2 linked regions of the Tamandua tetradactyla genome follow. The protein of the gene in region 1 interacts with the protein of each later gene in a biochemical or structural test. Links are inferred from orthologs where the notes say so. Each region holds a gene or a part of one and is shown in the gene's direction. Other genes may lie near its edges.

What was found.
Region 2: the proteins of PRMT5 (region 1) and COPRS form a complex in vitro, tested with the Homo sapiens proteins (3 studies listed by BioGRID, with this or other methods). The link is inferred for Tamandua tetradactyla from reciprocal best matches to the Homo sapiens genes PRMT5 and COPRS.

The regions. Positions count from the first base shown.
Region 1 is NC_135340.1:31,975,243-31,987,199, forward strand, and holds the start of PRMT5 (protein arginine N-methyltransferase 5), read left to right. Parts: upstream 1-7,662; 5' UTR 7,663-7,718; coding exon 7,719-7,828; intron 7,829-8,495; coding exon 8,496-8,614; intron 8,615-8,914; coding exon 8,915-9,000; intron 9,001-9,171; coding exon 9,172-9,306; intron 9,307-9,704; coding exon 9,705-9,817; intron 9,818-9,961; coding exon 9,962-10,011; intron 10,012-10,230; coding exon 10,231-10,394; intron 10,395-11,957. UniProt on the Homo sapiens protein: Arginine methyltransferase that can both catalyze the formation of omega-N monomethylarginine (MMA) and symmetrical dimethylarginine (sDMA), with a preference for the formation of MMA.
Region 2 is NC_135332.1:50,613,462-50,625,085, reverse strand, and holds the start of COPRS (coordinator of PRMT5 and differentiation stimulator), read left to right. Parts: upstream 1-6,391; 5' UTR 6,392-6,504; coding exon 6,505-6,603; intron 6,604-8,930; coding exon 8,931-9,000; intron 9,001-10,982; coding exon 10,983-11,204; intron 11,205-11,624. Other genes in the region: UTP6 (U3 small nucleolar RNA-associated protein 6 homolog), read left to right, coding at 2,247-2,319, 3,255-3,412. UniProt on the Homo sapiens protein: Histone-binding protein required for histone H4 methyltransferase activity of PRMT5.

The DNA.
Region 1 (11,957 bases):
ATTTTTGTCAATCTCTTTAATGCCTGGCTCAAGAGAAGACAGCTGACAAATATAAGAATGTTCTTTCATGAATTATAACAAATGCAGCACACTAATACAAAACGTTAATAACAAGATGGCATATGGGGAAACTATACCTAATGTAAACCATGGACTATAGTTAATCATACTATTTTAATATTCTTTTATCATTTGTAACAGAGTCGCCACACTAACGCAAAGTATCAACAGTAGAGGGGTATATGGGAACATTTATACTGTAGTTTTTATATGACTTTTCTGTAAACCTACAACTTCTTTAATTAAAAAGTAATAATAATTAAAAAAACATTATGCTAAGTACAACCAGACACAAAGTACTACATATTGTATGATTCCATTTATATAAATATAAATATAAATTACTCTATTGAGAGAGAAGTACAGTAGTGGTTTTGTAGGGATGGGGGTTAGGTTAGAGGGATTGAACAGTGACTGGTGAGGGGTATGGGTTTTTCTTTTCTGAGTAATGAAAATGCTCTGAAATTGATTATGGTGATGAATGTATAATTCTGTGAAAATACTAAAAGACACTTGATTGTATACTTTGGATGGACGGTATAGTATGTGAATATATCTCACTAAGACTGCTTTAAAAAAAAGACAGCTGGAATCTCATACTGCTTCTGCATTCTCTTTGCAGATTTGTTGTTTTGGTTGAAGTAAATGAAGACAATCTAGCTTCACACAGACACTTAGAAGGTACTTCCGCACCACCTGGAAGGGTCTTGGGAATCCCCCCAGGAACCTTTGGCCACATTTTGGAAAATGCTGTTGTAAAGGAAAAAGCAATGACATGGAAATAGAAGAACTGTAGTCTCATTCTGGCTCTTCCATTTGAGTGAACCATAACTTTGGTCAGGACACTTAACCTCAGTTTTCACACCTACAAAATGGGTATTGATAATTCCCACTTTCAAGATTAGATCCTGAGGATTAAATGAGATAATATATATTTAAAGTGCCTAGCATGTATTGGAGCTCAATGAATATTGGTCTGGCTAGGAGACTATTACGTCGTTGCTGTGAACCAAGAGTGATTGTTGGAGGGTGGACAGCTACAGGAAGGAGCCTGTAGAGCTGAGGGGGTCTTAGATAGGCCTTCAAAGGAAAGAAGGATGTTAACCAACAGAAAGACCAGGGAAAGATCATGGGTTCTAAACACACTTTAAAAATGTTTTCCATATAATATAAACATGCTTGTTATAGAAAATTTGGAAGACTAATTTTTCCCACATAGTTGAGGGCATGCTGAATGCACCATTTGCAATCTCTGTCGCATAATGGCACATCATGAGCATTTCCTATGTTATCTAATTTTCTCTGACAACAATTGATTTTAATGGCTGCTTATGGTTTTATAACATGATTTATTTAACCATTCCCCTATTGGACATCCAAGTTGTTGTTTTACACTTTTTGTAATTATAAAGAATGCTAAACTAAGCATTTCTCTTAATTAATATTTGTTCTAGTTTCTGCAGCTTTTCTAGGAAATCTTTCTAGAAGGAAAATTATAGATAATATGCCCTAAGGTGAAGCGCACAGGCTCTGGTGTCAGATGACTTAGGTTTGTACTCCATTTAAAACCCTTCTTAGAATCAATGAGAGGGAGGGATAAGGGGTATGGTATGGATGAATTTTTTTCTGTTTTTGTTTTATTTCTTTTTCTGAATTGATGCAAATGTTCTAAGAAATGATCATGATGATGAATATACAACTATGTGATGATATTGTGAGTTATTGATCTTATATCAAGAATGGAATGATTACATGGTAAGAATGTTTGTGTTTGTATGCTATGTTTAATAATAAAAAAAAAAACCTTCTTAGAAACCTTGAGTCTAATGCCCCTTTTATCCATGGTGAGGACAGATGAATAAAGCAATATGGATAAAAATAAGTAAACAATAGGGGGAGTAAGGGGTAAAATAAATTGGGTAGATGGAAATACTAGTGGTCAATGAGTGGGAGGGGTAAGGGGTATGGGATGTATGAGTTTTTTCTTTTTATTTCCTTTTCTGGAGTGAGTGATGCAAATGTTCTAAAAAATGATCATGATGATGAATACACAACTATGTGATGATATTGTGAGTCACTGATTGTACAACATATATGGCGTATAATCAGCGAGTGAAGATTTGTCAATAAAAATGTTAAAAAAAAACAAAACCCTTCTTAGGTGGGCAAGTCACTTAACCACTGTAAACGTTCCTTACCCACACAAAGATAAACGTCTTTCCTCACTGGGCTCCTGTGAAGATTCAAGATCATCCAACATTAAGTGCTTTTCATAGAGCCTGGCACAAAATAAGGGCTCAATAAACGTTAGCAGTTATCACAAATTAAATTCATACTTGTATATGTGCATACATATATATATTTATACAATCACACAACTGGCCTATTTATGGGATATTGGTTTGGCTCTTTGATTCTCTATTCTTGTACAAAGTGCACACCGTAGCTCTTTATTTATATATTGCTTGTTTCAAAAGGCACTTGAGGTAAAAGGCTAAAAAAATTTAGCAGTTCCCTCTAATGTCTCCCTCTTTTTTTTCTACTTTTTGCATTTTGTTGTCTGATTTTTTTTATTGTCTGACTTTTATTACAAACGAATGGTGGAATTACTTTATCAAGTAACAAAAGATTCTATTAGATTTGTGATTGAATGTTATAAAAGTCAGAAATGAATGTGGTAAGAATTGACATCTTTATAAGATTATTTTTTTCCATCTAAGAACATTATTTGTCTCACCATTTTCCCCCAAATATTCTATCTCCCAGTAAAATTTTTAAAGTTTTCTTTGATAGATTCCTCACATTTTTCAGTAAAATTTATGCTAAGTATTTTGTGGTAGTGTTATTGGAACCCCTGTGAATGGGGAAAATACTAATCATAATAACTAATGTATATTGAAGACTTACTATGCGCAAGGTAGGTTCTAAATACTATACTACATTAATACTCACTACAGCTTTATGAGGTAAGATGTATTATTTACATTCCCATTTTACGGATGAGGAAATGGAGGCCAGAGGGTTTAGGTTCTATGGTTAGTAAATGGATAAACAGGGCTTTGACTTCTTACTATTTGGCTCTATGGGTCATGCTCTTAACTGGCCCCTTATGTTGATATATTTACTAATTATCTCTTCTAACTGCTTACTGTTAGTATATAAGAAGGCTACAGATTTATTTTATATTGTCTTGTATAAGTGACCTCTCTGAATTCTATTATTAATTCTCATCACTTAAAAATTGGTTCTAATCCTGGAAGTTATTCTCATGCATTATATAGATATCACCTTTTTAGTGAAGGTGTAATGGAGAGGCTGGAGGGAACTGCCTGAAAATGTAGAGCTGTGTTCCAGTGGCCATATTTCTTGAAGATGACTGTATAATGACATAGCTTTCATAGTGTGACTGTGTGATTGTGAAAACCTTGTGTCTGACGCTCCTTTTATCTACCTGATCAACAGACGAGTAAAACATATAGATCAAAAATAAATAAATAATAGGGGGACAAATGTTAAAATAAATTTAGTAGATTGAAATGCTAGTAATCAATGAAAGGGAGGGGTAAAGGGTATGGTTATGTTTGAATTTTTTTATGTTTTCTTTTTATTTCTTTTTCTGAATTGATGCAAATGTTCTAAGAAATGATCATGATGATGAACATACAACTATGTAACGATATTGTGAGTTATTGATTATATATCAAGAATGGAATGATGATATGGTAAGAGTGTTTGTGTTTGTATGTTGTTATGTTTAATTAAGTAATTAATTAATTAATTTTAAAAAGAGACAAGTATAAAAAATTTGGTTCTAATGGATTTTCTATGTTTACAATCATATCCTCTGCAAACAATGATGAATTTGCCTCGTCTTGTCCAAAAATTATAACCCCTTTTTTATATTTTTAGTCTTTTTGCATTGGATTTTTCAGAACAATATTAAGTAACTCAGTGATGAGACTAGATATTCCTACTTTATTTCATCTTTATATAAATTGTTGACTTCATATATAAGAAAATTAAGATTATTAAAATGTTTAGAGAAAATAGGAATTGACTTACATTTACCATGTTTTCTTCAGCAATTATTAAAAATGATCAATGTTTTTCTTTTTTGGTTTGTTACATATAAATGGATTTCCTAATACGTAATTTTGTGTTAATTCCTTGTAGGGTTAATTGTGGTATAATTACTAGGTCGGTATAATATAGAATTTTTTTACTCAAATATTTTAGGATTTTTTTACATTTATATTCATAAGTGAAAATTTTCAATAGTTTTTTTGTGTGTACATGTGCGTTTTTGGTGCTATTTCTGACAGGTTTTGATATTAGGCTTATTCTAGCTTCATAATAAATTGGACAGTTTTCTATTTTTTTCTATGTTCCAGAACAGTTTCTACTTTCTATTCATTTTGACAGATAAACACTGTATAATAGAGATGACAAGGAAGAGAATGCAAATGGGCACAGATTATTTTGCCTCAGTAAATCTGACACTTTTCTAGCTGGAGGACAGTGTTGATTGCCAAGAAGCAATTTGGAGCAGTCAGAGGGTCAAAGAGCCATTATTCTGGTGATGAAGAGTGCAGCTGGCTGGGCAGGCACAGAGGTGAGTGAGGGTGGACCTGGGGAGGGAGGCAGGTGCTGCGGGAAGCGGGGGGGGGGGGGGGGGGGGGGGGGGGATGCACAAGAGAAGATGAAAGGAGTGCTGGCAAAAAGGGAAAAAAACAGGATCAGGGATCAGGGCCTGACAGTGGGGAATGCTGTTTTGCCCTTCTGTTCCACTCTCCCTACCTCCATCCCAGGAGAGGCCTGCATCCCACAGTAAGAACAGTGGTTCACAAACTTCAGAATTCAAGAGGTCAGTTTGTAGGGCCAAACATAGAGAAGCAGAGGATAAGATAGGTTTCACTAACTTTACTTTTTTGCCTGGGGCCAAGTTCAGTACAAGGTTTTCTATTCTTTTTCAGTCTTTCCCTTTTGCTCCTCCCCTGTTCAGAGAGGTGGGCCCACAGTTATATGCTGGGTTCTTCTTTTATTTAATGGCACAGACAAGTGCTGTAGGAAAGGCAGAGAGCAATCTGGTATGGAATTATGGGGAACTGTTCAGCATCATACTTGCCACACATCTGAAGCCTATTCTGAATGAAAAAACAAAGACAATACAGATAAATGAAATTCAGCCCATCTAAACTCACTTTAAGATCAACCCAAAACTCTAGGCTCTTTTTACATGAATCCTTTTGAAAATTATTTTAACTGATGGCAAAAGTGACATTTCTGTCTCATAGATTTCCTTCTAACCCATGGATAGGTTAGTTAACAACCAACAGAGCAGCCGCCAGCTTGCATTAGGAGTGACATGCCAGGAGCACAGATGGTTCACAACCCAGATAATGAGCTTCTGAAGAAGAAACATCTAATAAGTCTTCTGCGGATGTGGAGTTTGGTTGGGCATAGTTGGGGCAGAGAATGAGCAGGCTTCTGAAACAACCCTTTTTTACCTCTTAAAATGTCTGTGGAGCTCTCACCCACTTCTCATGGACAAGAACCTACTGCAAAGAACTTCAGGGAAGAATTCCAAATAAACTAGGCAGATACTCCACCCTAAGGAAGGGAGCACAGATACCCACTCCTTAATTTTAGGCTGACATAACTTTCTTCCAATGAGTACAATATGGGGGGTGGGGGGTCGGGGGGAGAACAACTTCACATTGGAGAAACCCATTCCAAGGTTAACATCAACAGGCATAAATCATGTTGATAGAATGTATCCTTGATAAGGAAAATGGCACTTTACCTTTGTGATATTCCTCTCCAAATCCTGTATTCTCGGTCTAATCATGAGAAAAACATCAGACAAATTCCAACAGGGGGCCAACCTACATGACACCCTACCAGTATGCCACAGAACTATCAAGGTCATCAACAACAAGGGAAGCCTGAGAAACTGTCACAGCCAAGAGGAGTCCAAGGAGACATGACCACTAAATGTTATGTGGGATCCTAGATGGGATCCTGAAACAAAAAGAACATTAGGTAAAACCTAAGGAAATTCGAAATGACTTTGGATTTTAGGTAATAGCAATGTATTAATATTGGTTAATTAATTGTAACAAATATACATTATTAAGATGTTAATAAAAGAGGAATAGAGGAAGTTGTGTGTTGTGCGTGTGTAGAAGCTATCTGGGAACTCTGTGCTATATGCTTAATTTTTCTGCAAAACTAAAACTGTTCTAAAAATAAAGTAGAATAAGAACAAGAATACCTGCAGGAATTAAATGAGGACTAAGAGAGGACAACAGTACCTCCAATCTCTTTAGGCTCTATGGGTCATTTCCTTAATCCTTTGGCTTTAGGACTTTCATCCTTTACATTACAGGCGAGCTCATCCTATCCACGCCCTTTGCGTGTTTCCCAGGGCCACGGTGACGTCATTCACTCGCCTGTCTGCGGTCACTAGCTCTTTTCTGGTGACTTCCAAATCTCTTGCAACTCTGTTTTCACACAGCGCCCCCTAGACGCCCAAGGCAGCATGTCCAAACCTCAAAATGATTTTCTCTGGAGTCGGTCCCCTCATTTCTTGTCTCACCCTCGGGTCTCATTTCTCTTTCTCACGGCCCCTACCAACTGGTCACCCGTGCCGGCCAACGCCTCCTGTTTACGGCCTCCTGTGCTGTGTTCTCTCCTTATTGCCAGGTCCTTCACATCTCTGGACTCCATTGCCTTTCTCCCCCCTTATGGCTTTCCTGGCTTTGTTCCTTTCCTTCTTTTCCGTCCCTCTAGCTGCTGTGGACGTGGGGAAATGCAGACTTTCTGTCGGGCCTCCTGCCAGGCAGCACCGTGACTTCCGTCCTCTCTAATCACTCGTCGGGAATTCCTTTTCTCCAGTCTATGGGAATGGGTGTGCTTATCTACCTTTTGTGTTTGAGACATAGAATCACGGAGAATTAGTGGTTACCACGGTAAATTTAAACATGTAACATACTAAAGGAACGGAGCCCATTTTAAGAGACCCAGCCATTAATGATATTTTCTCACTGTGAATGTAGATCTAGGTAGTGACACAACCACCACCTCTGAAGAGGATAACGGGAAAAGGCTGACATAAGAGAGCTGCACAACCTAATAGAATTAAGACCTAAAAACGAGATGATAACGAAATCTAAAAAAGAACTAAATAAAAAGCTCTATATAATTAATAATAGACCGTGTAATAAGGTAGCCCTTGTCCAACCGAGCCAGCCAGGAGTCGAACCTGGAATCTTCTGATCCGTAGTCAGACGCGTTATCCATTGCGCCACTGGCCCTAAGACAAGCCTGGTAGTCCCAGTGATGATACTTCAAGCTTATACTGCAGGGGTTTATGGGCTGTGTAGTCAATTAACAGAAGTCTGGAAATACGTGAAGCATTGTGGGAAATCGAAGTTCGTCACGAACTACACCCTGCGATTGGTGCATTTTGGAAAGCCACGCCGTACATCATGGTGCCGCCCGCGGATTGGCACTTCTCGCCGGCCCGCCTCTGCTCGCGCGGTGGGAGAGACTCTGATGGTTAAGCAAATTCGTCCCGCCTTCTGGCGGCTTTTTCTCCGCTCTGTGATTGGCTGCTACTATCAAGGAATCCCGGCGTGGACAGCGCTAGGGGAAAGATGGCGGCGATGGCGGTCGGAGGTGCCGGTGGGAGCCGCGTGTCCAGCGGGAGGGACCTCAATTGCGTCCCCGAAATAGCTGATACTTTGGGGGCTGTGGCCAAGCAGGGGTGAGGGCCCTGACCTCTGCAAGCGGAATGCGGGGTCCAAACTCGCGGACGGAGAGGGGCAGTCATTTTCGAGAGGCAGGAGTGACGCGGTCGGAGTGGATAGGATATGGGCGGGAAAAACCATCACTTCTTGGAGGGAGAGACCTCGATCCTAGGAGCGTGAGAAAGGAAACTTATTGGGAAGGGCGTTCGTGTGGTCACTGAGCCCAAAAGTTGGGGGAGCTGTTAGGTGAACCCCAAAAAGGGGAGTGCATTCGATCCTTCAAGGCCCTAGAAGTCGAGATTATTTTGTGGGAGTGGGAGTGGGAGGAATTGTTACCTGGCAAGGAGGAAAAAAAGGTTAATTCTGAGAAGGGAGGTCCGAGCAGTATTGGGACAGATTCTGTGTGCAGGTCCCGAAAGGCCTATAGAGCGAAGTAGCAAGAATTGTACTTGGCTTGGATTTCCTTCTCTTCTCTACTCATATTTGCCATGACTGTGTTTTTTGGGGAAGTTGAGGCACAGTGTAGCGGAAGTGATATGCTCCAAAAGATGGACAGCAGCTCAGGGTCATAGACTGATGGTAGCTTAAAAAGGCCTGTACAAGTGGAGATACTATAAATCCAGTTGCTTGGACTTCTGGGCACAGTTGCTTTACATAATGACTCTGGGTCTGTCGCGGTTATAGGTTTGATTTCCTCTGCATGCCTGTCTTCCACCCGCGTTTCAAGAGGGAGTTCACTCAGGAACCTGCTAAGAATCGGCCTGGCCCCCAGACAAGATCTGACCTACTGCTGTCGGGAAGGGGTAGGGACCATCCCGTGTCCCTTAATTATCATAGGCAGTAACAACTTATGCTTTATCAGAGCTCTCATTCTCCATTTCTAACTTGGAAATATTGGTTAGTCCCCTGGGATAAAGATACTCTTGCCTTCTCCATCTTTGCTTGTTAAAAGCCTTAGTTCTCTATTTTGGATTAGAGTATCCCATATCTGTGATAGAAAAAGTCCTTGTCTTTCACCTCTACTTTATTCCCTGCTAAGAACTAGAAATTTAGAGTAAAGTGCTGAACTTCATTTATTCTTTGTCTTTCTTGGGGCTGTGCAGACTGGAATACACTAATTGTGGGAAAGCTTTCTCCATGGATTCGTCCAGACTCAAAAGTGGAGAAAATCCGCAGGAACTCAGAGGCGGTAAGATTGTCTGTCACCTTTCCACTGAATCTTTTTTCATTTGAAGATTATGTCTGTAACCAACCTGGGTTTTTTCCTCCTATAGTTTGGTGAATCAAGTATCTTATATAATGGTATTAAACATATTTGTGGTGTGAGCTCTTAACCTTTTCCTCTTGATCTCTATTTCAGGCCATGTTACAGGAGCTGAATTTTGGGGCATATCTGGGTCTTCCAGCTTTCCTGTTGCCCCTCAATCAGGAGGATAACACGAACCTGGCCAGAGTTTTGACCAACCACATCCACACTGGTCACCACTCCTCCATGGTATGAGCAAGGGGCTCCTTTCCTGCTGCATATTATAATAGTCAGGCTGTGCTAAGTGTCTTCTCATGCCTAGCCATTCAGTGTAGGGTGCATTTTGCAGAATTGAAGTATCAGCACTGTCCACCCCCCATCTAAAATTAGTATGCAGAAAGTTACAAAGTGTATAGAATATGTCAGTTATTTATTTCCTGAAATTTAAGAGTTGAATTAAATGACAAGGCAGGGGTTTATATAAGGACATAGATATGATACCCATAATATGTACATAGTTACAAATTGGGAAAAGTACATAAAGGGATTAAGTTGAGATCTGGATCAAGATCTTTTTAATTGGAGAAGTTTTCTGGACCCAATAAGTTCAAAATAGAATTCTAAATAGCATACTTGTTCTTGTGCAGTTTTGGATGCGGGTACCGTTGGTGGCCCCAGAGGATCTGCGGGATGATATAATTGAGAATGTACCAACTGCACACACAGAAGAGTACAGTGGGGAAGAGAAAACGTGGATGTGGTATGTCTCCCTTTTGTGCTGCTATATGCAAGGGTAAAGGGTAAGAGGAAGTACAGGGTGGAACTTGTAGTGAGATTTTCTTGAGATGTGGTGACTGGTGGCCGTGTGAATGTGACTGTATTTTTCTGATTTGATTCTGGGCAGGTGGCACAACTTCCGGACTTTGTGTGACTATAGTAAGAGGATCGCAGTGGGTAAGTTCATGAGAGTTCTTGTCTAGGTATCCCTTCTTGATCTCCTCTGAGAATCAGTAGTTAAAATTTCATGTATACTTGGCTACTGGGCAATTTTGCTACTTTTCCCGTACCTCAGTCTGCCCTGTTCTTAAGAAGAGTAAGCAGGCCTTGCACAAAGAAGCAAGGAAGGGCTTCTTTCTGGCAATAGTTGACAGGTCTTTCTCTTCCCTCATCTAGCTCTTGAAATTGGGGCTGATCTCCCATCTAATCATGTCATTGATCGTTGGCTTGGGGAGCCCATCAAAGCAGCCATTCTCCCCACCAGCATTTTCCTGACTAATAAGAAGGGATTTCCTGTTCTTTCTAAAATGCACCAGAGGCTGATTTTCCGACTTCTCAAGGTAGGTGGTAGAAGAGTTCTAAAGGTGGTCCAGCTGGTCCTCTTGGGATCCTTTCTTGTGGAACTCAGTCTTCCTCTCTGGTTTCTAGAGAGCAATTTTGGCAAAGTTAGAGTCTTGAGAACCACACGACAAATAGCATTTGAGGCCCAGAAAACTGGAACCAGATCCCATGAGAATTTAATTATTTTTATTTTGTCATTTAATATTTTTGAGAAATCTTTACACACATACAGTTCATCCACAGTATACAATCAGTGGCTCATGATATCATCACATAATTATGTATTCATCACCCTGATCATTTTTAGAACATTTGTATCACTCCAGAAATAGAAATAAAAAGGAAAAACTCATACATCTCATATCTCTTACCTCTCCTTCTCATTGACACTAGTATTTTAATCTACCCAATTTTTTTTTCTACCCCTTATCCTCCTTCCTATTATTTGTTTATTTTTCCTTATTTTTTTCTCATCTGCCCATACCCTGGATAAAAGGAGTATTAGACACAAGCTTTTCACAATCACACAGTCTCTTCTAGTTTCCTAGGTGCAGAATATGATATACCAGAAACAGAACAGCTTTTAAAGGGGGGAATTTATTAATTTGCAAGTTTACAGTTCTAGGCTGTGACAATGTCCCAATTAAAGCAAGTCTATTGAAATGTCCAAATTAAGGCACCAACAAGAGGTTACCTTTATTCAAGAAGGCCAGTGATGTTCAGGGTTTCTCTCTCGACTGGAAAGGCAAATGGTGAGCATGGCGGTGTCTGCTAGCTTTCTCTCCAGGCTTCTTGTTTTATGAAGCTACCTCAGAAGCGTTTTCTTCTTCATCTCCAAAGTTCTCTGGCTGTGTGTGTTCTGTGTTCTCTCCAAAATGTTTCCTCTTTTAAAGGATTCCAGTAAGCTAATCAAGACCCACCTGGAATGGGTAGAGTCAGAACTCCATGGAAGCCATCTAATCAAAAGTTCCCACCTACAATTGGGTGGGTCATAGCTTGGTGAGAATTATCAAAAAGCTCCTAGCTAGCACTGATGAATGAGGATTTAAGGACATGGCTTTTCTGGGGTCTACCACAGATTCAAATGGGCACACAGTTACACTGTAAAAGCTGTATAGTTACACAGTCTTCAATAATCGAGGCTACTGGGAACACAGTTCAGCAGTTGCGGGTACTTCCCTCCAGCCACTCCAATGCACCATAAACTAAAAAAGAGATATTTATGTAATGATTAAGAATAATCTCTAGGATAACCTCATGACTTTATTTGAAATCTCTTAGTCACTGAAACTTTGTCTCATTTCTCTCTTCCCCCTTTTGGTCAAGAAGGCTTTCTCAATCCCATGATGTTGGGTCCCGGCTCATCCCAGGAGTCCTGTTCCACGTTGCCAGGGAGATTTACAGCCCTGGGAGTCACATCTCATGTTGGGGGGAGGGCAGTGAGTTCACCTGCTAAGTTGGCTTAGAGAGAGAGGCCACATCTGAGCAACAAAAAAGGTTCACTGAGGGTGAGTCTTAGGCATAATTATAAGTAGGCTTAGCTTCTCCTTCGCAGGAATAAG
Region 2 (11,624 bases), on another chromosome or scaffold:
CAGGAGCTGTTCTGTACTGTTTCTGGTTATTTTGTAGAGTTCTCGAGGATGAACTAAAATGCGCATGTTGTTAAGCCGCCATCTTGACTGGGAAGAGTAACTGTTTCTTGTGGTCTGAGTGAGAAATACAGGAAAGTCTCAGTTAAAAAAAAAAAAGACAAAAATCCAGATGTATCAGTAATCCTATCATATTAGCACAATTAGTCACTTATTTTTCTTTTTGTTTTGTTCTTCAGTTTTATTTATATGTGGACATAATTTTGTACTGTTGAATTTCTGGCTTATGTGCCTTGTGGGGGGGTGGTTTTCTCTTTTTGTTTAATGTTATTTTGTGAGCATGTTACTATTTTTATACATGGTTGTATTTTTTAATCATTGTAGTTTTATTCATTTCTTTTTTGTGTGTGCTGTGCGATGGGGGTCACATTTCATTCTTTTCCATGTGAATATCCCGTTATTACAGCTATATTTGTTGAATGGTTTGTTTTGTTGTTGTTGTTTGTATTTTTTTTTTTTTTTGAGTGCATGGGCCAGGAATTGAACCTTGATCTCCCGCATGGCTAATGATAATTCTACCAGCTAATGGTAAAACTACCCATGTACCTCTATTATATTATTCTTAAACTGTAGTTTCCTAAATTATTCTATTAAGTGTAAGTTGTTAGTTTTTTTATTTTAAAACAGACTGCTACAAGCATTTTCTTTACATAAAGTTTTGTTTTCTTTTTTTCCTTTTGAATTATTTTCTTGAGCTAAATTTCTGGAACTAGGGATACCCATTCACTTTCTATCACCTCCAAAAGAAATATACTTATTTATAATGATATCAAGTGGTGCGACAGCAGCGGCAGCGTTCTCACCTGTCATGCCAGAAACCCGGGTTCAATTCCTGGAGCCTGCCCATGTGAAAAAAAAAAAAAAAAGAAAAAGAATGATACCAAGCTAGTATACCAGTATACTTATGTCTTCACAATTTTTCCAATATTTGGTTTTGTATTTTCCCCTTTATTTTCACATTTTATTTGGTGTCTATTTATTTTTTGAATTTTGTAAAATTCCTAGTGAGGTTGAACTCTCTTTATTCAGTAAAGAGCTCCCTATATTGTATGTATCTTTATTGTATCTCTATTGTTTTGCTCTTTATTATATGGGCCAAGTACTGTTCTTGTCTTTTGATCCAGTTAGTTGTTATATCCTACAGTAGAGGAGATAGCATAGCATAATAGCCAGGCTTTGGAGTCATAACATAGTAGTTATGTGCCTTGGGCAAATCACTAAATTCTGAGCCATAGCACCCTAAAGAGGAAGAGATATTATCTTGTCTCAGGAGTGTGAGGGTTATAGACCAAATGAGATATTAGATGAAAGAACTTTTCATAGTGCCATGCACATTGTAAGTCTTCAGTAAAATGTGGTTCTGTTGTTCAGGAATGTGCAAACTACAAGAGTAAACCGTCTCTGTAAAATAATTCAGTCCCAGTGAAGAGACATTTGAATGAGAAATAGTTATTCGAGTGTACGAGAGGATTTTTAAACTAAAGATGGTAATCTGCTTTGAAAATGGAACAAAAGGGAATGCATTTAAACAGAAGTAGGTAGAAGATTACATTTATTGATTGTAAAACTAGTACCAACTATTCTACTAAGTGCTTAATTAACCAGCATTTTAATTTAATCCTCATAGTTGCTATAAGAGGTATTATCCTTGTTTTACATGTGAGGAAACTTTCAAGGCTAGATGGTTTAACAAACTTGCTGAAGAGCAAATAACTAGTATTCGTTTATACTTTGCCTGATTTAAAAAAGCTTTAAGGTAGAAATAAGTAGTATCTTTCAGAGCCCAGATACTCAAAAGTATCCTTGGCCATTGGGAGTAGAATTGTCCCCCCCTTTTTTTCTTTATTTCAATCCTATTCATCCCTTAAGGCTCTCAAATTTCCTATTGTCTGTGAAGCTGCCCATCTTCCCCCACTGAGGATTAAATATGCTTTTCTTCATGCCACCATGCAAAGCGTTTTTATAATTGCTTAGCATTTACTTTGTTCTGGCGAGTAGTAGTACTAGTTGTTTGCATTTTACTTTTCTCAGGATAAGTTGAGAGCCAGGCTTTATTCGTCCAAACCTCCTTCCCCTGCCCCTCTTTCAAGTACCTAACATGTGGCAGGTACTTAACAATGTTGTGGAAACAGATTTGAGTCATTATAAATTAGGCTTTAGAGGCAATATCATCTGATTTATTTTTTTAGGAATCCTGCAAGATGGTGAATTTAAGAGAATATTATGAGAGGGCTTTGAGAGAGTTTGGATCTGTAGATTCTGGTAAGTAAACTTCAGTCAAAGATGTGAGTCTCTTTGCATGTGCTGTCTGTGACCTATTGGTATCATGAGAAAAATGTTTATTAACCTTTTCTGGGCCATATTTTATTCACTGAGAATAAAATTATATATCCTTTTCCTGCCTCTTCCCTCACTTTGTGTATAAATACTTGTATGCATAATTTTGCTCATAATTCTAGTGAGTTCACAAGCCTGAGGTTCTGATGGTCTTCTATTAAGAACTCTGGATTAGAGAAAGATATGCTTGGTTTGGCTCACTAAAAGAATATGATATTTGTAAGGGAAAGGCTAATAATGTGTGAATTATAGCCGAAAAGGTAACTGTGGTATGCAGATTGGCATTAGTTGTCACTGGTTGTCACCACATTACCCTCATTTGTAGAACTTGTTAAACAGGCCTCTGAGTATAGATACTTCATATAAAGGCTTTATGAATTAAAAAACAGTGACATGTATTGTTACTGAACTCACATTTTAACAATTAACTCCTGTATAGTTTCAGCACACCTTTTCCTGGAGAAGTGAATGAAAGCTGCGTTTTTGCTATCCTGAGCAAGTTTTATTGGGTATGCTGGCAAGGTTACAGTGAGATTGATTGAGGTCAGATTCACCTTGAAAGAGACTCAGCAGAATCTCTCTAAAATGTTTAATATTTTTTATTTCACAAAGTAATACAGATGTTCATGATTGAAGTAAAAGTTTTTCTATTTCTAAAAGATTTTTTTTGATATACCTTACTGTAAAGAGTACAAGTGAGAGAGGTATTGTTCCATATAGGGTCTTTGGGAGATAATAGCAAGAAGTTTCTTAGAAATCTTGGGTTGAATTGATATTAAATAATTAAATTAACTAACAAAGCCATGCCTGTTATCTAATTGTATATTTACACTTTTGTTTTTGGTATGTGCCTTTTAAAGATCTTTGGATGGATTACATCAAAGAAGAATTGAACCACCCCCTTGGTAGACCTGAGAATTGTGGACAGATCTATTGGCGAGCCATGAAGATGTTGCAGGGAGAGTTAACAGAAGCGTTTGTAGCTAAACATGCAATGCACCAGGCTGGCCATTTATGAAAAGAGGAAGAACACAGCCAGCTTTGTTAAATAGTGTTGTGAGCCCTCTGGACAGATTTGTATTATGAGTCAGTCTGTAATTTGCTCAGAGATGGCTGACAAGATGGCTGTCTGATTTTGAGATATGCTTCAATTTTGTTAATATGGTAATCCTTAATTTTAAAAAAGAGAACTTCTGTGTAGTGGCAGAAACTACTTGTTGGGGATGGACCTGCCTTAGGTTCTAAATGTTTTCCAAAATACATGGAAATCGTATAACTTCGCTCCTTTAGGCAAGGCTATATCTGGTTCCTACCATTGCAGGTTATGAAAATGCATCCTCGCTAGTTCACCTAGAGCTGAGCTATGCTGCTAGATACAAGTCCTTAGCCATCATGGCAATTCAAATTTTACTTTATTAAAATTTTTGAAAAGTTAACATTTAGTTTCTCAGTTACATTGGCCAAATTTCAATTGCCCAGTAGCCACATGTGGCTAGTGGTTACCATATTGAAGAACCTGCCTTAGGTTCTAAATGTTTTCCAAACTACATGGAAATCATATAACTGAGTTTCATTTATTTCCCTAATCATGTATATCTCTAATCTAGATGTAGGGGCCAGTTAAAATGGAGGAGGAAGTACAGTTCTGTTTATTCTCTATTTTAAAAGTATGTGGTATGTACTTGTAGAAAATATGGAGGAAATAGGACAGTGTGAAGAAAATAAAAGCATCTTGTAATCCCACTGTTTGAAGTCAAACTCAGTAATTTTGATTTCCTATATCAGAATTGGATTTATAGTGTCAGATCATCTACTCATTTATTCCTTCAAGAAATATCTGAGTGCTCATGATGTGCAGGAAAGAAGGTTGCTTTCTGGGATGGAAGAACTGAGCTGGATGTCCCTAAGAGAGTTGATTGAAGCAGCAGAGATGGAGGTGCTGGGTATTGAGGAATAGATTATCCTTTAAGAGAGTTAAGACAATATAAAAGTATCCTTTCTCTCTCGGACTGATCAGCAAGGAATAGATTATCCTTTAAGAGAGTTAAGACAATATAAAAGTATCCTTTCTCTCTCGGACTGATCAGCAAGGAATAGATTATCCTTTAAGAGAGTTAAGACAATATAAAAGTATCCTTTCTCTCTCGGACTGATCAGCAAACAACTGTTGAATTTGGGAGCCCCAGCAAAAAAAGAATGGAAGGGGTAAGGAGTACACTAGAGTAGTAGAGTACTTCAGAGGTGGAGGCATGTAACATAGCGTGGAGTAGAGAAGGCAGTATGGGAGCAGAGGAGGCAAATGTTAGAATTTTATGCCTTTTAACTAAATCTTACATTAGTGGGTCAAGCATTCAGTGTATTGTGATATTTGTGCTTCCCCTAAAATGTTATTTTCCCATGTTACCAAGTAGCTTTAAAAATATTTCATGGACTATGGCATTCCATTGTATAAATGAGACATTACTTATTATAAAATCCTCTATGGTTGGAACTTGTTATTTGTAATTTTTTCTTATAGATGCTGTTAATGAAGAGTCCTGTAAATCTTTGTTTATATCCCTGGTTATTTCCTTAGGAGATTACTCTCCAATGATGGTGGCATTATTAGATCAAAGGATAGCAACTTATTTTAAAGAATATTGATTTGTATTGCCAATTTGCTCCTCACTCAAACAATGTATAAGAGTGCCAACGTCCTTATCTGTACTGGGTGTTATGTTTTTTAATTTTTTTTTTTTACCACTTTGATAGGTGCAAAGTGATATGTCATTGTTTTACTCTGAAAATTAATATCAATTTTCTTTGATATTAATGAAGTTAATGTTCATTCCCCCTCCCCCAAGTTTCTTTGGTCTTTTCATGCTTTCACCATTTTTTTTTAATTGTTTTTTTCTTACTAATTTATTATTTTTTTTATTTTACCTGTCCAGAGGCTTTTATATGATTCCTATTATTTTTTTTAACATGGGCAGGCACTGGGAATCGGATCCAGGTTTCCCAGCATGGCAGGCAAGACGATTCCTATTATTTTTAAGATGTTTCGAAAGTCATTTCTCATGCTGAGCACAACTCAGTTTTTTCCCCAAGTAGTTTTTCCAGGACCATTTATGGGGTCAATCGTGTGTCTCTCTGTTTTGTGATGCTAGCTTTATTATGTATTAAATTCCTATGAATATTAGTTTGTTTTTGTGCATTTTTGAGTTTTCATACTGTTTGTTTGTCGTGCTTTAAAATAAAAAAATTTCCTCTTCCCTCTCCTTTAAGCCCTGAGAAGAATAACATTCTAAATCATACCAAGTGTTTTTATTTCAGGAAAGAGATGCTTGTTGTCCATAGGAGAAGAAAGCAAAGAGCATAATACTTCACTCCTTTAGGCAAGGCTATATCTGGTTCTTACCATTGCAGGTTATGAAAATGCATCCTCGCTAGTTCACCTAGAGCTGAGCAATACAGTAGTCCTTAGCCATCCAGGCAATTCAAATTTTACTTTATTAAAATTTTTAAAAAGTTAACATTTAGTTTCTCGGTTACACTGGCCAAATTTCAATTGCCCAATAGCCAATGTGGCTAGTGGTTACCATATTGAACAGCATAGGTAACAGAACATTTATTTCCACCATTACAGAAGGTTCTATCGGACAGCACTGACCTAGAGCCAATCCGACCTAATGAGACACATTAAGTGGTCACAGTTTCCGTATCGGAAAGTCTACACAGAAAAGAAACTAGCATTGGTTATAATGTCAACTGTTAAGCTAAACTTTTTCAAATGCCTTATTTAGTATATAAATAACACATTCTTTGAGGGAGATTAAGGAATAGGCTCTAACTTAATGTCCCAAAAGACTGCATTAAGGTTGCTTGATGAGCAAAAAATCATACCCCAGTTTGCTTCAGATTCTCGGACCGGTAGGTAGGGGGTTTTCCCTGCTCGGGAGCGCCCCGCCCCCCCTGAGCCGCTCCGCCCCACTTCCTCGTGACCCCGGTGTCCCGCCCCTCTCGGTCGGGAGCACCCCCGGCTGATTGGCCCCTCTGCGGCGTCTCCTCCGGCTGGTAGCCAGGCCAGCGCATCACGTGGCCGAGGAGCGTCCAGGGCCGGAGTCTCCTAGCATGGACCCTCAGGCCGCCCGGGCCCAGGAGCCGGGGGCCACGGAGCCGCCTCGGTGCCCGACGCTGCCGAGCGCGCGGGAGGCGTCCCCCAGCCCGGGGGTGAGCGCCGCGCCGGGGCCGGTGGCAGCCACGATCTGCAACCCGGGGCGGGAAGTTGTGGGGCTCGCCGGGTCGGGCTGGGCAGGGGCCGCGGAGCTGGGGAAGCGCCTCCGGCCGCTCCGCTGATGCCGAGCGCCGTTTGGGCGCGTGCTCGAGCTGGAAACGGCCGGGCCGTGGGGCTGTAGAGCCGCGCCATTGCGTGGCTGGAACTCCCGAGGACGTAGGTGGGCAAGCCGGGAGGGGAGGGAAAGCTATCTCCTCACGCCTGTGCGTACTTGGTAAATGGGAGATGCTACCGATAACCGAGCCCTGCGGAAACCGACGGGGGCTGGGGCTTGGGCAGGGGACAGGTGAGGGCGGCCAGGGAAGAAAATTTACCTTAACGACATATGTTCATTGGTGGGGATGCTTCTCATCTTAAACCAGATGATGCCACATGCACGCTCTCCTTTTATGCTAACTGAAACCACAAGGCCTCGTTTGACGCAGGGTTTCCAGAAACTTGTGTTCATTTGCGCGCCAGACAGCTCCTGCTTTTTTCAAAGGCCGTTGTTAGAGGCATCACCTACTCTTGTTTCTGATCTATAATCCCTGGTTAGGGTAAGCATCTTAAGGGTGGGAACCCTCAGTGTAGAGCTGTTTCCCCAGCGTCCAGTGTAGTGTGCCTAGCACGTGAAAAGACACCTAAGTAGTTGGGTGGATGAATGGAATGCTTGACCAATGTAGGATGTGAAGAATGTAGTGATAGACTTACAAATAAGATTACTTGGGAATGCAGAATAGGATGAGAATAGGAAGGGATGTGTGCTGCTTCTCCAGGGTAAGCGTGTGGTGCCTGCAAAGGATGTAGAAGAGAAACTGTGGGAGCAGATGGCTTGGAGCTCTGGTCAGGGAGAGGGAAGAGAGGATTATGTGCAACAGGTTCAAGGGGATCCGGCTTGGAGGAGGCTTGAATGCCATGACTGATTCTCTGCTCAGGCAATGGAGGGCTGTTGTAGGTTTGAGAGCAGAGTGGCCATGAACACTGTAAGGCTGGACAAGAAAGAGGTGTTTAGGAGGCTATTGCATATTGCAGTGGTCTGGCTGAGAGGCCCCACCTGTGGCAGCACTGCCCAAGGGCTATCTCTGACCACATAAGGTGGAATTGAATAATTAAGTTGCTTATTCAATTGATGATTATTCAATTTCATGATTAGATCATCAGTGGTAATTTTTTTTATGCTGAAGTAAGTCTTGGGCAGGTGCCAAGTCCAGTTTAGATGTGGGAGAAAAGAAGAATAGATTTAAATTCAACAAGTGTTGGATTCTTGCTACATGCTAGGTGTTTTCATAAATGTTATAGTAAGCCCTCTGTGAGGATGGAACAATTGACCCAGTTTGCAGAGAAGGAAACCCAGGCACGGTTGTTAAAATGATGTGACCAGGGTCACACTCCAAGTGGCAGAGCTGGGATTGAAATCAGGCAGGCTGGGAACATTTCTTGTTTCATCTGGAAAGAGGTTTTGGAGCTGATCTGCTTTCAGGAACTTTTGACTGGTAGGAGTAGAGATACATCTGGTTTGCTTTAGGGGAAGATATCCATCTATTGGGATCCTCTTACAGAATTCTGTGTTAGGTTAGAGGGATCCCCTTAGGTGTTTAGTATTGCCGAGGAACCAAAGCTCCCTCCTGCCCTGCCATGTATTGGCCAGGAGACAGAAATCATACGAGTTATTTAAAAGAAAACTTGATAGAAAGACTTGTTAACTAGTTATAAAGTTAACCAATTAACTGAAAGAGGAAAAAGTGAACACATAGGTGGCAACTGCAGAAACCAGCTACCAGCCCTAGGGCTGAGGGAACAAAGGCATGGGGGTGGGATTATTAAAGCTTAACAGCATAGTGGAGAGACCCTGCAGAACGAAAATTCTGATCTCCAAGAAGGGGGCAGTGCCCCAGCTGGTCTTGGGATTCCTGAGCTGGAGGGGAGGCCTTGAGGTTCTGGGATCCCATCTTCTAAAGAGGGTCCTCCCCCAACTCCCGCCCCTGGCCTCCATGAGGCTGGTTCTGGGAGTGTTGGAAAACTAAATGAATTCAGCTACTGCTATAGGAACTCCTGCTGCTGGGGGTGAAGTATTGCTGGGGTGATGTTACAGGGATAGGAAGGAGCAAGTCCCTTTTTCCAGCCTTGCCAGTCTGACAGGCAAAGTCAAAATGTGAGTTGCAGAGTCCCAGTCCCTATTTCACAAAGTGGAGGATAGAAGGATAGGTTTGGAGTTGAGACAGCAGCTTTATAAGGCATGCTCCAGATATCCAGATCCCCAGGTAATTGTTTCTTCTTCCTGCAGATTGGATTTGCCATACCTGACCACCCCCAGCCAAAGGAGACAGAGACTCAGAAGGCCATGGATCGGCTAGGCAAGTAGCTGGCAGAGATTGAAGAGGAGATGAGGGTGTGGCTAGGAGGGCTGTCTCTAAACTTGTTACTGTATCCTTCTAGCCAGTCCTTTCCTCTGCTGCCAAGTTGTTTTCTCTGCCTAGTGTTTCAACAGTGCCCTAGTCTGGAAGCCCTGCTGGAGCTTCCTTAAAAACCCCTCCCTTCCACTGAGGGAAATTGCTTGGGACAGTGGAACAAGCATAGGCTTTGGAGCCTATCTTTGGGGAAAAATCGTGATACTTTTCTGCTCTGCATCCACCAGTTGCATCCCCTTACTCATAATGACAACACCCCTTTTCAACATGAAGAAGTTAGAATGGTCATTGCCCAAATATCCTTAAAGATTGGGAGAAGGATCAGAGGAGATAGAGGAATTGGAAGTGAGAAGATAGGTTTTAACAAATGCCATGACTGCAGAATCATATTGATATTTCTTTTGGTCTCCAGTATCTTAGAGCAGTTAGAAGGAAAAACCTAAAACTGTACAACTATAACCCATACCATACTTTGAGATTTGTTCTATAACTACTTGTTAAAATATACTTTGAAATTTATCACTTTTTTGTGCCTGTGCTATATTTCACAATAAAAAATGCTAAAAGAAAATTTTCAGCTCTGGGTCAGAGCATCCCGGATTGTAGCTTTGTGGCCTTAGGTGAGACACTTAGCCTTTCTGCGTCTTGAAAATGGGAGTAATAATAACTACCCAAGACGTTGTTCTGAAGATTGAGGGAGGAGGTCTAGTACTGTGCTAACCCATACAATAGCCACTTGCAACTGGTGCTATTTAAATTAAAATTAATTAAAATGAAATAAAATGAAGAGTTCAGCTCCTCAGTTGCATCAGCCACATTTCCAGTATACACATGTGGCTGGTGCTGCCTTATCAGACAGCAGATTATAGATGATTCTTGTCATCACCGAAAATTCTATTGGAAAACACTGCTTTAGACAAAGCGCCAAGCACACTGTAGGTATAGTCACAGGAAGTAGCACTTGTATACTCATTGTGTGGCAGGCGCAGTTTTAAGTGTTTCTTGTTCTTTTTCTTCTTTTTTAATTCTCATAATAACCCTGTCTTCATTTTGCAGATGAGAAAACTGAGGCACAGAATAGTTAAGTGAATTTTAGCTTAATCACCCATTTAATAATTGTCAGATCTGGGATTTGAACTCGTAGTCTGGCTTGAGAACCCATGCCCTGAACTGGTACTTGGTTGCTTATAGCTGTTCTTATTATTATGCACTTGAAAGCATGACTGTTCTAAGGCTGATTCTTTTCTTGGTCTGAACTGGCATCACCATACCGCCATACCATACCATATGCTTGGAGGTGCATTATCCTTCGCCAGACTTTCTTCTGTTATTTTGAGAGCTTTTGAAAATGAGTCTTTGAGCCCTCCCCGATGTCCGGTGGCTCTGTGGTGGCTGCCTGTTGTGACTGGACAGCTTTTGCTCTTCTTTGCCTGCGTTCCTGCCCTCTCGCCTTGTGCCCCTAGCTCACCTCTAATGGGAGGAGGAAGTGGGAAGCAGAAGGGCAAAAATTCAGTCTACGCTTGTATTGTGAAAGTGTTTTTTCCAGAGACCCTTTGCCTCCATGACATGTAAAGTACCTGAAAATATAAACTGCTGGCTCCCTGCTGTAAATTACAAGACTTAGCAGTTAGGGGCCTTGTTAAAGGCAAAGCATCTTATTTAAAAGAAATAACCCTACTTCTAAAAATGTAAACAGAACAAAAATGTTATTTTTAGTGCTCTGGTGGCTAAGATCTCTGTACACTTGTTTACGACCTTCTGTGTAAGTCTGCCAAGAATTTTTCCAAATGCATTACCAAGCTCTGTATGAGTGATTTTTAATGCCTGCCTACCCCAATTATTGTGCTTTCCCCATGCCATCCAAGCATGCTAGTAGTTCTTTCTGGTTTGTCAGTTATTTGAAGACTTTGCTTTTATCGGTTTTGTAGCCAGTGGAGCACAGAGCATCACAAATGATACCCCTTCCCATGATGAAGGCACCCACTCTGAAGAGGAAGGCTTTCCTCTGGAAGATGAAGATTCTGAAGGAGAGCCAAATCCCTGGGAGCTGCCAGAAGGAATGTCCGACAGCATGTCCAAGGTGCAGACTGCTGATCTGTTTAATGAGGATTGGGACTTGGAATTGAAAACAGATCAAGAGAATCCATATGGTAAGTACAACAATGGCTCCTCAGACCTTCCAATCAAACTTACCCTTAAAGATAGCTTGGAAGTGGGACCCACATCCGTAAGTCAGCCTGGTATCCATTGAAAGTCTGAAGTTTCTTTGGCAGCTGAGATTCATATTGACAAAAGGACATGCAAAGTTTGCAGTTGATTCTATAATGTAGCAGTTTGTTTTAACATTAAAAGTGTTACTCTCTTAAAAAATATTTGCATGAATGGATGTATTGCAGCAGCCAGAAGTACTTTATTATCCAGTTGCTTCTCTGCACTGCCAAGAACCCTTGTCTGGGAAGCTCACCATGGTGTGCTTCAGAATGGACATGTTTTGCAGGTCATCAGGAAAGGAGAACAGAGTTAGCAAGTGTGTGTGTCTTTAAGAAAATAAGTGCCAGTGCTTGTTCACT